Linked DNA regions of Coturnix japonica. The protein of the gene in region 1 purifies or fractionates together with the protein of each later gene. This does not show direct contact. Links are inferred from orthologs where the notes say so. Each region holds a gene or a part of one and is shown on either strand. Other genes may lie near its edges.

Region 1 (5,680 bases):
TAAGGAAAATAAACAGTGTTTCACAACACGTGCAAGGAGGATAAAATAAAAAGCATATCATGTTTTAAGGAGTTCTGGCTAAACGTGACAGTGCTAAAAAAGAGTATTTATCCTTTTGTTTCTTTGAATATAATCAAAAGTACAGGGAGAGCATATGTATTTTATAGTCGCTGATGAAAAGATGGAAAGCTTTGTTATTAATTACACGTGAATCTGATGTTGTAGAGCTGTTAAGCCACCAAGTAACATAATTGTTTGCTTCCTTTGCTTACAGGCCCTCGTTCTAAGATGCATAATTCCTGCTGCTGAGCCTTTTGAGTGCACTCCTGGCTGTAGGTGAATGACTCCATGCTGGGAGCTGTGGGACATGCCTGGAGTTCAACTCACAGCACCCAGATCTACTGAATATCTCCCACTCAGAGCCTGAATTAACTTTGTTTTATATCAGCCCCTCCAAGAGCTACAACAGAAGGTAGGATGGCCAGAACTGTAGCTCCACGCAGGGAGCTTTCAACCAGCTGAGATCTCCACGCTGCAAATTGCAGCTTGCCAGGAAGAGCTTGCTCCTACATCTTCATAAACAAACAAAAGCATTCCCTGCTATAAACAAGCAAAGCAAGCAGCTGGTCCTCATTGGAAAAGACGTTACATCCATTTCACAAAGGAATCCGCAGATCTTCTTCTTCATGCAAATATTTTGGGGCAAACAAAAAGCAGCTGTTTCTGTTGCTTTATACCTATTAGCAGGGAAACAAAATCCAGGATGCTTGTATTTCTTGTAAGGAAAACATCCTCTTGGCATCGATGTTCGTTCAGATCTCAAACTGTTTAACACAGGCTGCATGAATCTGCTTTTGCTTTGTGTTCAGCAAGAGGGTAGAAACCTTTTTTGCTCATTAAGACCTAAAAGCAAAACAGCCGTTGAGGAGCTTGCATGGGTTTATAACAAAGGTTGTGAAGTTTAGAATGTATGTTTTATCTGCTCTGTGCTCCCAGCTCATGTTAATGTGCGGAACGCTGTTAAAGAAAGGAATAATGTATTGGAGTGATGAAGGCAGCCTTTAATTACTGCTGGTAGGGACCTCTGGAAGGATTGAGGGCTGGATAATAGAAGGTGCTTGTATTGCTTGAGCTGGCATCTCTTGGAAGGTTCTGCCTGGTATCTGAGAGCTACTAAAACTGAACTAAAACCCATCTGTGATAATGGCTGAGTGGAAAATAAGAGCTTGGCCTTGGATGTCACCCGCCGGGTGGATGTACCACAAAATGTCACCTCCCAGGAAAAAATGAAGCCGTTCCCTTAGAGAACGCATCAGTTCTATTACAAATGCACACAGTAATGCCGTGCTTTCACAGCATTGCATCACAGCAGGAAGCGATACATGACTGCCCTTAACAGCATTTCCAGTTTCTACAGCAAACCAAGGAAAGCAAAGTACAACCACCACCACAGCGGCGCGCCGGCGCGCTCCGGTAGGCTCCGCCCCCTGCACCTGATTGGCTGCACTTCTTCCGGTCTCCCCCCATTGGCTGCTTGGCGCTGCTCCCCCCGCCCCTCCCGCGCTTCTCTCCCGCCCCGTCCGCGCGCAGCGCTCCATACTTGGCGATGGCCGGCGAGCCGCGCTCTGATTGGTTGAGCTGTGAGGTGAGGGCGGGGCCGGCGGGGCGATGACCCGGATGTTCACTCCTAGGCAACGGCGGAAGTGGAAGGGCCGCGGCCTGCCTCGGAACGAGGGAGAGCGGAGCGGAGCGGACCGGGAGGCGCCGCCGTTGCCACCGCCCAGCGCAGCCCCGCCGAGCCGCCATGGTGAGCACCGTGCGGGATCCGCCGCTTCCAGCCCCGCAGCTGGGCCCTATCGCTTCCTTTTCCCTCCCACGGGGCGGCGGTGAGGGAGGCCCCGGCTGCGGCCTGCACCGGGGGGAGGCGGTGGGGGCAGGGCCCGCGGGGGGCGGTGGGGCAGGGCCTGGGGTAACGCAGGGTCTGGCGGCTCGAACGGAGCCGGGACTGGCGGCCGGAGCGCTGCCTCCAGCCCCGCGTCGCACCGCAGCTGTGCGGAACCAGGAACCGGCGGCGTGCGGGGCGGCCGAGCCTGCCCGGGCAGACACCGCTGCGGTGTGTGCGGCTCACACGATGAGGGTTGGAGTGTCTGGCTTCTGCAGCCGTGTAGCGCAGCCTGGCCGCGATGTGCTGGGGGGTGAGTGCACACAGAATGACCCGGGTTGGAAGGGTCCTCAAGGATCATGTAGTTCCAACCCCCCTGCCTGGCAGGGCCACCAAACATACACCTTTACTAGATCAGGTTGCCCAGGGCCCCGTCCAACCTGGTCTTGAACACCTCCAAGGACGGGGCATCCACAACCTCCCTGGGCAGCCTGTTCCAGGGCCTAACCACTCTCCTAGTGAAGAACTTCCCCCTAACATCCAACCTAAATCTTCCCTCTTTTAACTCAAGTTCACCCAAGGGACAAAACCTTCGGTTTCCCTTTGGTGCTGTGCGTGGAGGGGGTGCAGCCCCTGGGGTCTCATCTCCTATGGGCTCACCCAGCACCTAAGGGTGGAGATGTCTTGCTGTGCCCAGCCTGCCTGGCGGGGTGCCCACTGAGCCCCTGTAATACAGCGTACCTGGAGGGCTGTAATTGCTCCAGTGCTTGGTACTGCTCAGGAATTTGTGGTTTGATGTTTTTTAGGACTGTTCAAATATAGTTAGGTTCAAAATGTACCTGGTTACATGTAAAGACTGGTTTAGTAATCAATCCTTTGCTTCAACTGTAAGAATTTCAGAGGCAATATCTTATCCTTTCCTCTGGAGGCTGAAGGTCCTGGTGGTCCCAATGCTTATATGGCACAGGATGAAGATGTTTGATTTCTAGTGGAAGGTGAAGAAAGCTTATGATCAAGATTCTGTGCCTGTTGGAACAAAGCTGTGCTTGGCACCCAAGCGTGGGATTGGCGTGATGGAGCATCTAACTTCACATGTGAATGTTAGACCAAGAGCCCTGGCTGAAGTCTTTGTACACAAGACCTGCTGCAGGATTTATTAGACAGGAGGCCAACCAACTGTCCTAACTTAAAAATCCTCACAGAGAAAGAACTGAAGGAAAACAAGCAGGCTTCATGTAAAACGACAGTGGTGTTACCTGCTGCTTTTAAGGGAATGCAGAAGTATGCTGTAAGAATGATTCAGTTGAGGTGTGTGACTTCGTTACTCCTTAGGGGAGATAGAGCACAAGCCCTTTAGGAGTTTTTTGAGTGCTGTAAGCTTTTGCTGTCTTCTGATTTCTCATGTTTAGTCATGGAAAGCATTGGGTACAGGAGAAACCTGACCAGGATCTCCAGTACTGTGCTAGGCTCAGCTGTTGGGTGGACTTCAGGTAGGAACCTGTGGCAGCTGCCCCGTTATTTGTGTGTTGTGGTGGCTGTGTACACACCCGAAGGTTTGTTCACTGAGTGGGGCAAGTGGAGTGTGGTTTATGCAGGCCTACTGCAAGAAAGGTCACTGGGCTTGGTTACAGGAGACAAATGAGCTGTGGTGATGTGTTAATAAAGCCTTGCTCTTAGAATCAGCATTATGCAGACAATGCAATTCTGGCACCCAGTTTCAACTTTAGTTCCCTTCTGGTTTTTAGAGTATCCCCAGGATCTATTGCTTTTGTAGACAATACTCAAATGTAGCATGAAGGAACTAAAATAGGTCTGGCACTGACAGCTGCTGTTTTATGTGGTTCATACCAAAGCAATGTAAGATTTGTGAAACTAAACACTTTTTCATCTCCCTGAATTCTGAGTCTCTGATTGTGATTGTGTCACTCTTGAAACTCATGGCATCAGCTCAGGGAAAGTTTTCAGTGCCCACAGCACATCCTTTAGTCCTTGTACCATCTAAGAAATCCTCGTTCGTGTTATTTTGTAGAGTCCATGTTTTGTTAGCCACGTATGTGAGCTTAGATAAATGCTGTCTTAAAAGCCAAGTTCTCCAAGTAAATCAAATTGGCGGGTATTGCTGGGATAGGGAATACTGTCATTGCAGTGATGATAAATCTTTGGCTTGAGAATATTTGAACCACAAGATCTTCAGATGGGATTTCCTCATATGGTAAATATATGTGCTGATATCTTATTAGTTAACATCTGGGAATAAACCGGAATGAAAGCACAGTTTAACTCTTTTGAATTACTATTTTTAGTGCTTATTACATTAGTAGCTCAATGATTCTCTTTGGGAAAGATATGTTCTGCATTAATCAGCTGGACTTCTCTGTTGAGTTTCCCATGCAAAGGATGGCTGATGAGCTGCAGGCTGTGCATGGAGCGTTCTCCTGCCTGCCCTTTGGAGGTATGTTTGGTCACATCCAAATGGTTCCTCACTCTAATTCACACTGTAGAGCTGTCACTCAGACACTGTGCATTGTAATTTCTTTCCAATTGATTTATGTAAGGAGCTCTGAAGAGTTTGCAGTGCCCCTCCAAACCTTTGTCTCTCTTCCCCTGGTGCACAGGGTCCAAAGCAATTGCCTCCAATGTGCCCATTTTTCCTGATCCTTTGCCATTTCCAGCAAGGAAGAGGGAAAATTGCACTTAAAACCATGTGTGTGAAGGAGCAATGAATGTCTGGGCTTTATAAACCTTTTCCCACCTCCCTGGTCCATCTAGCTGTGCTGTGATGCAGGGTTTGCTTGCTGGTAGGTTATGTTTGTTTATTTATTACAAAGCTTTTCTAACTTGAACAGGAATTCAAGACTGAATGCTGGTCAAGCAGGTTTTAAAGATGTCTCCCTGCTGTTTGAGCTGAGAGGTTTTATTATGAGGAGAAAATGGAGAATGCTTGAGGAAGCTGCTCTGCTTGTTTCCTAATTATAAAGTTGTAATTTTCCGCAATGGATGCTGTCGGGGTAGTGCCAAATGGAGTGGCAACACAATCCTTCTGGCCGTTTAGATGGAATAAATCTCCTAAGTTCAAGAATCAGAAATAGGATCTGTTTCCTATCTGTGGTTGTCTAAAATAGGCTTTTATTTAGAATTACTTTAATTGCATTAGGTAATACCTGGTGCTTGGTTTCCTAGAATGGTGGTATCAAAGCATCAGACTTCCTTGTATTATTTGGTTCTCTTCTTTGGCCCCACTCTCCTTTAGGATTTAGAGTGGAAGTGTGCAGTGTGCTGTGAGCTTGTGCTCTATGTGCTGCCTCATCCGAGCTGGGCTGAAGCATTACAGAATACATCTGTAGGCACTTGACTTATCTGGCTGCCCTTCCCATAAATTACCTGCTTTATTCCTAATGAATGCAAATTCAACTTTGCTGCTTTATATTCCACCGGCGTAGCTTGTGCTGTTTATCAGCACAGGGTTGATTTGGGAGCCCTGCCTCTTGGTTTAAACCCATAAGACATTGCTGTAAGTGTTCATAGCTCACATATAGCTCACATAGCTTGTTGCAGAGCAAGTCATTACTGGTGTTGCTCTGATCTCAGAGAGGATGTCCTCCAGGTCTTTCAGTAATGGAAAGCAGAGCAGAGTTCTTGCTTTGTGCAGTGCCTTGGGATTTCCATCACGTCCTTGTTGCAAAGTGGGAGGGCGAGCAGTCTGGGTGAAAACAAAACCTGAGATCTGAGAATTTTAGCACCATCAGCCAGACAAGAACAAGAAGAGCACTTAAGAGGATTTCGTGTGGAAGGAAAAAG
Region 2 (5,187 bases), on another chromosome or scaffold:
TTTCCCCACCTTGTTTGTGGAGGGCTACCCTTCTGTCATAGGTGATCTAATCAAATAAAGCTTCCAAGCTTTTGTTTTGATAGTATGCAATGGATACAGTCCTAAGACTGCACTGAAAACCTCTATCTTTGAATCCTTTGCACCCTGGTCTGGTGGTTGCTGCTGTGAAGCTTGGACTGCTGCCAGCACAGCTTCAAAGCAGTGGTTGCAGCACAGGATTCATTCAGCTTGAAATTCCTGTTTAGCACAGTGGAAAATCCCTTGGGGGAGCTGCAGTAGTCTATACCATCTGTATATCTTGTATTAATGGACTTGTAGTAAACAATACATTTTCTCCCTTTGTGTTCAAGACTTTCTGCTCTCTGCCAGGAAGTTCTTAAGATTAAGGTGATGTGGAGATCTTAGTCCTATACAAAAGGTACAAAAAGCAAACCTTTTTATGAGTATGTAAGCTAAAGCTTTAAGCCTTCATCAGCAATCACCAGTCTAAGTTGATGCTAAGTATCTGCAGGATCTGTAGTACAGTGCTCTTATCTGATTTGTTTATAGAATGATAGAATCACTAGGGTTGGAAAACATCTCTTAAGATCATCTAGTCCAAATGTCCACCTACACCAATATCCAAACAGAACCTCCCCTCGTGCAATTTGAGGCCTTTCCCTCTCATCCTATCACCTGGGAGAAGAAGCTGACCCCCTCTCTTCCTGTGACTTCCTTTCATGTAGCTGTAGAGGGTAACTGTTATAATTAATTGTATTGTCATGTATTACTCACCTCACAGCTAATGCTGAAAGACCCCAGTCAAGAATTTGGACCTTGTTGCAAAATTCTTTTAGGGTGTGATACTCACGCAACCAGGAATGGACATCATGGAAACTGAGAATTCATGTCTGGGTGGCCACCCCTTCACTTGAATTAGACTGTGAATGTGTTGTGAATGCTCCTTAAACAGTATAAGCTGACAGCCTTCAGTTGAGCAGTCCTGCTGGTACAGTCATTTTTGAAGTTGATTACCAGCTGTTGTGGTTTAACCCAGCAGGCAGCTCAGCACCACGCACAGCCTTTCACTTGTTTTTACCCCCACCTCGATGGGATGAGAATTGGAGGGGGAAGAAAAGCAACAACAAAGCACCAACAAAGTAGAGCTTGTGGGTGGAGATAAAAAAAAACTCTCATCTAAAACAGAAAAGGAAGAGAGAAATAACAGTAATCTTAGTTATGCATACACACAAAACAAGTGATGCGTGATGCAGTTGCTCACCACCCACTGATAGATATCTAACCGGTTCCCCCTGAGCAACTGCCCTCAATTTAATGGCTTTCATGTGATGTCATGTGGTGTGGGGAATCCCTTTGGCTAGTTTAGGTCAGCTGTCCTGGTTCTGTCCCCTCTCAGCTCCTTGTGCCCTTGCAGTCCCCCTTGCTAACAGGACAGTGTGAGAAGCTGGGAAACTGAAATGTCCTTGATGCTGTACAGCACTGCTCAGCAGCAACTAAGCCGTCAGTCATAATCAATGTAGCTTTTCTTCTAAAGTGGCAGCATAGCATCATACCAGGTGCTATGAAGACAACCAACTCTGTCCCATGTGAGCACAGGACACCCAACAAAATCTAGGAACCTGTTTAATTCAATGCTAACCTAATAACATGCAGGATAACGTGTCAGTCTCCTGTCCGGTTCAGTGCATGATTTGTGTGAGCAATCCTGCAAGTACAAGGGATTAGGAAGGATCAGATTTATGATCAGATCGTGAATAATCTGGTTTATTACCTCCGCCTTCCTAAGAAAAAGGATAAGTAGTTATCAGTCCTGCTTACCGTGTACTTTAAACCCTCTGCTTCATCTTACAACCCTTTGTAAAAGTAGTCTGTTTCATGCTTTCTGTTTCTACTACCACACCCCCTTCCTATGTCCTCTTTCTTTAGTCAAGGATTATGGAGAGAAGGAAGTCTTCCCAAGCTCTTCTCCACCATGCACACTGTAAAACCTCAGTTTTTTTCTACCTAGCCTTGTATGTACACACAGATTTTTCAAACTTGTTCTGTCATTGCCTTCCAAATGAGTCACAGTCCACAAGCTACTAAAAGTGGTTAGCTGTTTAACTTTGTGCTGATTAAGTTGGGAGAGCTGAATGGCAGCCTGCTCTTCATCACTGCTGAGGATTAAACTTACCTCCAACATAATGTGTTTACTCGTGGAAGTCAACAATTGCTTTGGATTTCAGAGTGGAAGCCTGTTCCTCTCTTTCAGTCTGGTGAATCAGCTAGGTGTCTTTCTGTTTAAGTTCTTGTTTGCAGATCTGATTAGAAGATCTGATAGCAGGTCATGTTTTTGCTTCTTCACGTGGCCGCTTGAGGATAAAATAAAATGTTTTCTCTGGAAGCTGCAGTGGGGCCGTTTACACTAATTCTTACTCTGTTGTAAGAGTCAAAGCTGCATTGGACTAGGCAAAATATCTTCCTCTTAATGTCTAGTAGCCTTCAAGTCAGAAGTGAAGAGTGTTTTTATATTATTTGACTGTATTGTTTTTGTTAATTTGCAGTGGATATGACTTTGGTTATCTAATCAAAATCCTGACCAACTCTAATTTGCCTGAAGAAGAGCTGGACTTCTTTGAGATACTGCGATTGTTTTTCCCTGTCATCTATGATGTAAAGTATCTCATGAAGAGTTGCAAAAATCTGAAGGTAAGTAATCTGTTAGTGGTTCAGTCCAGACATTTTTTTGTGGGGAGGGGAGAATACCTTCTGCTAAAAGCTTATCTTCTGTATCCTGGTTTTCCACTTTTGCTCTGGTTATATCCATTAAACAGGACTTGAACTTGGTGCATATTTAATATTAAAGGCTATTGATAGAGGCAGGCAGAAGTGCACGTCAACTTTTATAACTACTTACCAGTTAAAAAATATTGTGTTGGCACTGTATTTATAGCTATGCCCAGTTTTTGTTGCCAGATGATAAACTCATGTTTGGGATATAGATCCTTCACTTCTTGAGCAATAAGAATTGTTGGGTTTCACGTACTCTTATTTCCTCATTGTGCAGTCCACTAAAGGGCTGCAGTCGTCTTCACAAAGGTAATTGCAACGGTGATGCTGTGGAAGTCTCTTGGGAAGAGGAATGGAGTGAAGAATGTTTCAGATGGCCCTATAAGGAAAGATAAAGAGCAGCGTATATTCAGAAGCAGCACGTGACTTCTAGAGGAAAAAAAAATAAAGTAGTTTTAGAAACTAATCTCTCATATCAGGCCAGCAGGGCTGCTAATTGGCATGACGTTTGGAGACTTAATTGAACTGGAAAATGAATTGAAACAAAGTATGTTGAAGGGGAAGACAGCGAAGTGAAAGATGCTACAGGGATTGTTAACGACTGTACTTGCTAAAGAACTTTAAGATTCTGGACTGCTACGGGAATGAAGTGCACCACTCACCTGAAGCAATAAATGACTTTGTTGCTTATATGGAAAATAACTTGATTTTTTTTAGTCTTTCTTAAAAAGAACGTGAATAAACAAACAAGAGCATTGGCTGTAGTACAACTAAATCCTGAGGCATTTCACTTCCTCATGCTGAATGAGTGGTCTGCATGGAGTTAATAGTCCTTTGTTTCCTTGAGGTGTTTAGTGTGTCATTTAAATAGTAGCATCCAAAGATGTGTAATTTCTTTTGTGAACCAAATTGCTGATAATGGAGATCTCCCTTTTAGTTATTAAGAAAAGTATACTTACCGGACTTCATCCAGTTATTGGGAAAACCAGTTGGGCAAATGGCTGGACATTAGAGAACATTTTAGACATGTTTTTTCTTCACAGAAGCTAGAAAGGAAAAAAAACCATCAAGCTTCAGAAGTCTCCTAAGGGTTAGGGGCAGCAAATTCAGCACCACCACCAACAAAAAAAAACCCACAAACTTTCTCACTTCTGAGTGAAGTAAAATGTCTCTTGTCTTTGTGGTGGTGATATACTTATCAAGAACAGTATGTATCATCTACTTCAGTGACCTGGGAAAGGCAACAAAATGGCATTCCATAGTGCTGTTCCATAGGTGATATTCCAAGTGGTTTTGGGGAGGAGAGAGTTATATTGTCACTTAATTAAGGCAGTTGTGTGTAACTTGCACTGTTTAGAGATTCAAATGCATTTTGGAAGATAAGAAAAACCTTCATGAGTCTTCTTTCAGCAAAAATTAAGAACAAAGGTGTCTTTTTGAGCATTTAATATGTAGGTGAGCTTTCCTGCAGCAAATCTTATTCTTCTTAGCTGCAGATTGGTAATGACAGGAGGGAATGTGGGCTATCCTACCACTCTAAGCACCAGCAAATGAAATTATTGTGGACTTGTACTGTTCTGAGAGCAGCTGTCTGAAAAGAAAAGTTGCTAAGTGTTGCATATTGTGACTCAAAAATTGTCATGTTTGGTCTCTATTAAATGGCAGAGAATTGAACTGCTGTGCAGTGGTCCTTTATTGACTTTTATAAGTTATTTTCATACAAAAAACAGACTTACTCTAAGCTTCCCACCTACCTCTGCCCTCACATAGCCAAAAGTGAATTTTTAGCATTGATAAGACAAGTGTTTGAGGATGTGGAAACTGTTTGCTGCTCTTACAATGAATCCACAGTATGCTACTCTAACAAAAATGGACATCAGTGTACTACACAGCAGGCAGACTGTGACTAACTCGAGGTACTTGTGTAGTACAGGTTAAATTCCTGCTTGGGGTCTAAAAATCTTTTCATGCAGGCAACTCCATACAGTTTTTGCAGTAATAGCAGTTCTAAAGTAGATTTATAGGCTGTTCTTTCATTTTCTTCTGAATCCCTTTCTACTGCCTTTCTTCCCCACAAGTTAAATATTCTTATGTAGAGCGTGAAGTCTTTCCTGTAATAAAATTTCAGTAGCCTAATAATCTTTGGAGGCAATTGTAATGATATGTTTACAAATGTATCTACTGGTGACTATATGTATTGGAAGGGTTATTTTCAAAGCCTTCTTTGCTTTGCTGCTGTTCCTATAAATTTTGCAGCCACTGTGTAAATAGTACTGATTTGTGATATCAGGTGCTAAGTGAAGCTGGTATAGATAGCCTAACAGCTAGCACTACGTAATGATGAGGCGATGTTAAGTGTCAGCTTGGGAAAGTCAAGAGTTTACAAACAGCAAATAGTGCTTTGGAAAGGCAACTGCT
Region 3 (5,682 bases), on another chromosome or scaffold:
CTTTCTGATGGGAAACTTTTTCCCTTTTTTTAAGAATACTTTGTCTGAATTTTTGTGTTTTACTGCTGTAGAACAGTCTTACTGGGCTTCTTGCAAAAACTGAGCGTGTAGAAAATCTAATCCTCTTGAGAGTGGTTTGTTGAAATGTGTGCATTTGGTGTGGTACCTGTTGTGATTAGAGTATTTTCATGCTTGCTTTGCCTGAAGATGGCTGTGTTAGCATTGGGTTAGCCTGTTTAGGTGCAAGGTGTGAGGGCTCTCACTGTTCGCTTTGCACTTTTTAGGTATGAACTGGTCTCTGGTTATTTTCTCCATAGAGTTTCTCTCCAGCTTTGGGATTGCAGTGTTAGAAGTGCAATACTCAAAACTTTAGATTTTTGTTGTTGTTGGTTTGTCCAGATCATTGTGATGTTTTAACAGGAATTTTGCCAAGTAAAAATGATGGAGTAGGTGGAAAGTGCAAAAGCATCTTCCACACTGCTGCACCCCTCTTCAAAGTAATCATTATAGGTAAGAAAGGAAGCTATGCCTTATGCCATTCCCAGAAGTTCAGCATGCATCTCTGCACGTGGCACGGATTGTTGCCACATGTCCTTGGTTATTGATTATGGTCAACAAAAGAACAATTTGAGAGCTGTGAACTTTGGATGGAACCACTGTTTTGCTACTCAAACATTCCTTCTGAAAACAGAAACCCGTAGAATGTTTTTGGGGAGCAGTCTGTCTACCTGAGAAATTCAGTGAATAGAGATCAAGAAGCAAAGGTTTAGGGCTTGTTTTCTATGATCTGGATTACCCATGTCTCTTTTCAAAACTTTTCTTGCAGTGTACCCCTGAAAACATCAGAAATCTTCATGTTTAGGAGTATTTTGTTTCCCCCAGACTGTTGGTGTGGAGCTGTGCAGAGCAAGGGAAGGTCAAGAAATGTGGGAAGTGATGACTCAATTATTGTGCTTTTGCTAATTCCTTTGAACTGTGGATTCTAAATTCACTGCTGCCTTGCAAACATTAGTGTGTGAGACTTGCAACTGATACCTGTTCTAAAAACAGGAGGGGAGGAGAGGGAGCTGTGTTTATTTCAACAAGCACAAGCAACACTTCCAAAATACACTTGTGGTTGTATCATAGTTATGAATCTGAGGTTATCTAGTGGTGAGCAGCGTGATGAAATGGCAGCCTAATATGTCCATGCTTTATTTGGAAAACGTAGTTCTTATCAAAAGATGAAGAACACCAGTGTTTCATTCACTGTGTTTGTTGAATCTCTAAGTGCAGATACCGTGTCTGTCAACACCTCATACTGTGAGATGCAGGAACTCGCCTTTCACAGCTGCACAGTAAGTTCTTGAGGATTGTGTGGCATAGAGACAAATGTCCTCCACTTTCTCTCCTTCCGTGTGTGTTTTTTAGTCTCTCTTATTGTACAATCAAAGTTAACAAAGGAAGGAGATGTCTCTTAATCAGATAGAGTTGCATTTATGTTGTGTTATGGTTTGTTTTTTTTTAAGACTATATTATCTAACTGGGGTGGTGGTTAACAGATAGATTGTAACAGCTTTCTAAATTCTTTGGGCAGAGCTGAGCTCATACCAGCTATTATATTTAAGAAGCCCTACAGATTAAAAAACAAACAATCAAACAAACAAAAAAAACACAAAAAACAAACATAAAAAACTCTTTCCTTACTGCAGAGTTTAACCTATAGAGTTTGGGTGTGCACCTTTGGTAAGACAGCTATCCTCCTATTTAAAAATAAAATGGATGAGTAAATCCTCCCTGGCAAACCAGGGATCCTCAGACTGCGGGTGTATGTAGTTTGCATTGAAGAGAAACTGCCTGGAGGGCACAGGCTGTGGCATAAAACGTATGTCCTTATTTCCACAGCCATGGAACTGGGGCTGGGGGATGCCTTTCTGCTGCCCACCGCTCCCAGTTCAGAGCACAGGCACTTGTTTGGCCCCGTGACAATCACGCCAACTGCGGCATGTGTCTGATAGTGAAACAATGAATGGCTTGTTCTCTCAGAGGAACAAAAAGTGGGTTGGGTTGAAAAAAGATAAATAAGAATTTCTCAGTGGGTCATTTTAGGCTCTCACGGCAATTTGAATGTGCTGAATGAGTGGCTTCTGAACTGAGCCAATGGGGGTGGTCAGGCACAGGCATCACTTTTATCCCACACGGGGGAGGAGGGGTGAATGAGCTGGAAGATATAAGCTGAAACAAAGCCATGCAGTCCTTCTGAGTCATTCGCATGCACTGGATGGGTAAGGCTTCCTGCTTCCTGGGACGCAGAAGTGGGGTCATGATTCTAACAATGGATGCTGGTAAGTCACTTGTTATTAAATTTGTCTTTGATTTTTCTGGGAAATCTCGCCTTTCCCTCTTGTCCCCAGCTGCAAAAAAGACAGTTGTAAATTAGGAAGCTGAATGTTAAATAAAGACGTGCCTACTTTAAGCTGTGTGCACTCTACTGTGTGGTTTTTCTTGACTGTTAGTCACAGAAGCACATAACCCCAAGACCATGGTACCAAAGTTGTGTTTATTCACTCCTCCATCTGTCTTCATTGTGGCCTGTGGAGTAGTATCATTTTTGTATGATACAAGTCAGATTTTACACTTTCTGTAAAGAGCTAGAGACAAACTAATGTGCTGTCAGTAGCTTGTTTTACTTTGTGCTTACAGAAATCTTGTGCTGGGGAGGAAGGGGAAGAAAGTGCTGCATTCTCATGACGATCAGTTCTGTTTTGTATGTTTATAGCTCAGGAAATATGTGTGAAAAGAGCACATGCAGGATTTTTATTATTATTTTTTAATTTACCATGGAAGTGAAATCTTTAACATAATACCCTGTGTGATAGGGAGGATGAATGCCAGCAGTAAGATATAGGGTGGTATGTCTAAAAGAAACAAGGAATCCCAGTTGTCCTCCTTGAGGAGGGGGCTGTGTTTCCATATCATAGCTCGCATCCTTTAAATTCCTCAGCAAAAAAAGGTTCTAAGATGTTAAATGGTTATGGGTAGGGCATAAAGTGCCAGCACTTGTGTTCTGGCAGTGTGCTGACGATTGCTCTTTCTCTTACCAGTTGCAAGCATGCTTGCTGCATTCTAAGAGCTCTGTTGAACTTTTGTCAGCAATTGGTTCAGCTACTTTTCCAGCAGTGTGCAGAAGCAGCACAATGTGACAAGTCCTACAGGCAGCATTCAGAGTGATGAACTTATTCAGGCACATCTTGCAGGTCTGTTCAATCTACTTGTCACATGCTCAGTTTAGTCCATGCTAATGAAAAGCTCTCTGTCCCCTGTACGTCTGAATTAATTTGTTTGGGCACTTGCTAGGGCCTAAAGGGAAACTGCGCCCACATCCAACTGACTTTTCTGAGACTTGCTCAAAGTGACAAAGCTGGGCTCTCCATGCACTGTTTGAAGGAAACAACAAACCTCTTCATTTAACCCACTCACACTTAATTGAAGTTACTTTGTCATCCACTGTCACTGCAGACAGTATTGAAGGCAGTGACTCCTGTCTTCGATGTATGTTGCATACTTTGCAAAGCCCAAGCCCTTTAATTGAGATAATACGATAAACAGAAACTCAGTGAGGAGTGAGGTAGCATATAGCTGACAAAGGGGTACAGACTTTTCCACGATGGACCTATTTTTTATGTTTTATTTGGTCACTTTGATTAGCTTCTAGAGGATCCATATTTCTGGCCCTTCCTAAAGCAGTTTGAGCACTGGGAGTTAGTAATGCTCTTCTCTCTGCCTTGAGCAAGAAGAACCAATGTCGGTGCTAGACGTTGCTCCTGCTATTACAGGAGGCAATGTGCAGGTTGAAAGAGGTCCCAGCAAATAACAGATTCAGACTTTGTGAACAGGGTACATCATCTCCTTCGGAGTCCTGGAGTTCCTGCACTGTACTGGAGTAATTTAACTCTTTGTTTTGGAAAGACTGAGGNCCAGACAAATAAGCACAAGCAGCATGCTGCATTCTTGAAACCATCTTCTTCTAAACAACATGTACATGGAAACTTAAAAATACATCTGTTGTTTATGTATCCTTACGTACTTGTGTGCTGCTGCTTTGCACCGTGAAGTGAACCATAAAGATAACACTGCTCATCTGCCCTCCCCCGGATCCAAAGGGTGTCTCCTTTCAGCACAGTGCCACTGCACCGAGTGCTCGGGGTCGCAGGGCTCTGGCAGCCCTCGGGGTGCTTTTCATGGTTCTCTTGACTTACATTGTTAGCAAGAACTCATTTTGGAAGCACCCAGGTGTTGAAGAGTTCTGAAATTATAGTCCTGAGCTTCTTGGTGGGAAAATGGTTCAAAATACTAGAAAGGAAACACTGTAACATAAGGGTTTAGCAGTGACTTCTGGTGCTTTGCAGTTGTGTTTAAGTTACGATAAAAATATGCAAGCAATTCAGTACCTTAATCTGGGCCATGGATAGGGCGCCATGAAGTTTTATCTGCTTATTTTTACCCACCTTTAAGGCTGAGCCGACTGTTCTTGGTACTGTTTGCTTACTTCAGACTGTATGTTTGCATTACGAGTTGGGGCTGATTTAAAAAAATTACTGGCAATAAATGCTGAAGATGTTTCTAATACAGCAAAACCTTTTCTCCTTAAGAGGACTATAAAAATACATGCTGGTTTGTTTCTGTTTTTATGAAACATGTTTTATTCTGTCACGTTTGTCCCTGCAGCATTTAATTTCTTGTAGGAGCGGGACTTTAAAAGTTGTGGATGGGGGGAATAAAAAGGAAAGCTGCAAGACAGAGCTGACAGTATAATTGGATTTGAAGCAGCTACAGGCTGGGACTGTTGCAACAGCTGATTTGATCCTTCTGAGTTTCAAGAGCTATTTATGGTAGATTAGCTGTATCAAAGCTCTACTGTTCCAACCATAAAAGGCCGGTCCTATGCGAAGTTGCCACACTGCATTTGGCTTAGTCCTCCGAGGTTGGAGAGCCTATAGCTTTTTATGTGGATAAATCCAGTGATGGATGGAAGTACTAAAGGCAGATCGAGGAGTAACATTGTCGAGGACTTCAGATGGCAGCGAACTCTTAAAAGGAGATTTTCACTAATAAATTTTTTGTTCTGATGTTTGGAATCAGCGCTTGGAATATAGCTCCTGCGTGTGCACTGCATTTGGTGAACGCGTGCTTTTAGGAAAGCGTTGTTCTAAATTTATCTGACTTATCTGAATCATCTTGACTGCACATGTACTCGCCAGCCTTGCATGTTGATATCTGGTAACTTTGTGAAGTCACTTTTCCGTTTTATTAGCGGTGAGCATTAGTCCTTTGGAAAGGAACCTTAGCTGAAGGGAGAAACTTCTCTAAAACAAGAATCATGAAATTCTTGGCTCACGAACACTGCAAGAGTTATCAGTAAGTATTTTGAGAAGTCTGACCCCTTCTGCTGCGTCTGTACCTTCTTTCTTTCCTCCTTTGCAAAAGGGGTTTTTGCGGGATTCTGAAGTAAGTCGTATGTCCTTCGCTGAGCGTGCGTGTGGCCGCGTGGGCCAGTTGTCTGAGGCTTCATCAGGTTGAAATGCAAGTGGGTTTATTCCAGCCTGTGCATGCCACTCATTCAGCCGTCCTTAAGGCATTTTGTGTTTTTATTCTTGTGGTTTTGTTTGGAGGATGAGTTCATTCTGCTATGAATGGAAGGTC

The links.
Region 2: the proteins of CAPZB (region 1) and CNOT7 purify together in Homo sapiens (co-immunoprecipitation; 3 studies listed by BioGRID and IntAct, with this or other methods). This does not show direct contact. The link is inferred for Coturnix japonica from reciprocal best matches to the Homo sapiens genes CAPZB and CNOT7.
Region 3: the proteins of CAPZB (region 1) and SVIL purify together in Homo sapiens (co-immunoprecipitation; 3 studies listed by BioGRID and IntAct, with this or other methods). This does not show direct contact. The link is inferred for Coturnix japonica from reciprocal best matches to the Homo sapiens genes CAPZB and SVIL.

Annotation. Positions count from the first base shown.
Region 1 is NC_029536.1:4,121,390-4,127,069, reverse strand, and holds the start of CAPZB (F-actin-capping protein subunit beta), read left to right. Parts: upstream 1-1,673; 5' UTR 1,674-1,804; coding exon 1,805-1,807; intron 1,808-5,680. UniProt on the Homo sapiens protein: F-actin-capping proteins bind in a Ca(2+)-independent manner to the fast growing ends of actin filaments (barbed end) thereby blocking the exchange of subunits at these ends.
Region 2 is NC_029519.1:56,943,575-56,948,761, forward strand, and holds part of CNOT7 (CCR4-NOT transcription complex subunit 7), read left to right. Parts: intron 1-2,543; coding exon 2,544-2,688; intron 2,689-5,187. UniProt on the Homo sapiens protein: Has 3'-5' poly(A) exoribonuclease activity for synthetic poly(A) RNA substrate. Its function seems to be partially redundant with that of CNOT8.
Region 3 is NC_029517.1:13,367,686-13,373,367, reverse strand, and holds the start of SVIL (supervillin), read left to right. Parts: upstream 1-2,204; 5' UTR 2,205-2,251; coding exon 2,252-2,324; intron 2,325-4,937; exon of another isoform or gene 4,938-5,396; coding exon of another isoform or gene 5,397-5,397; intron 5,398-5,682.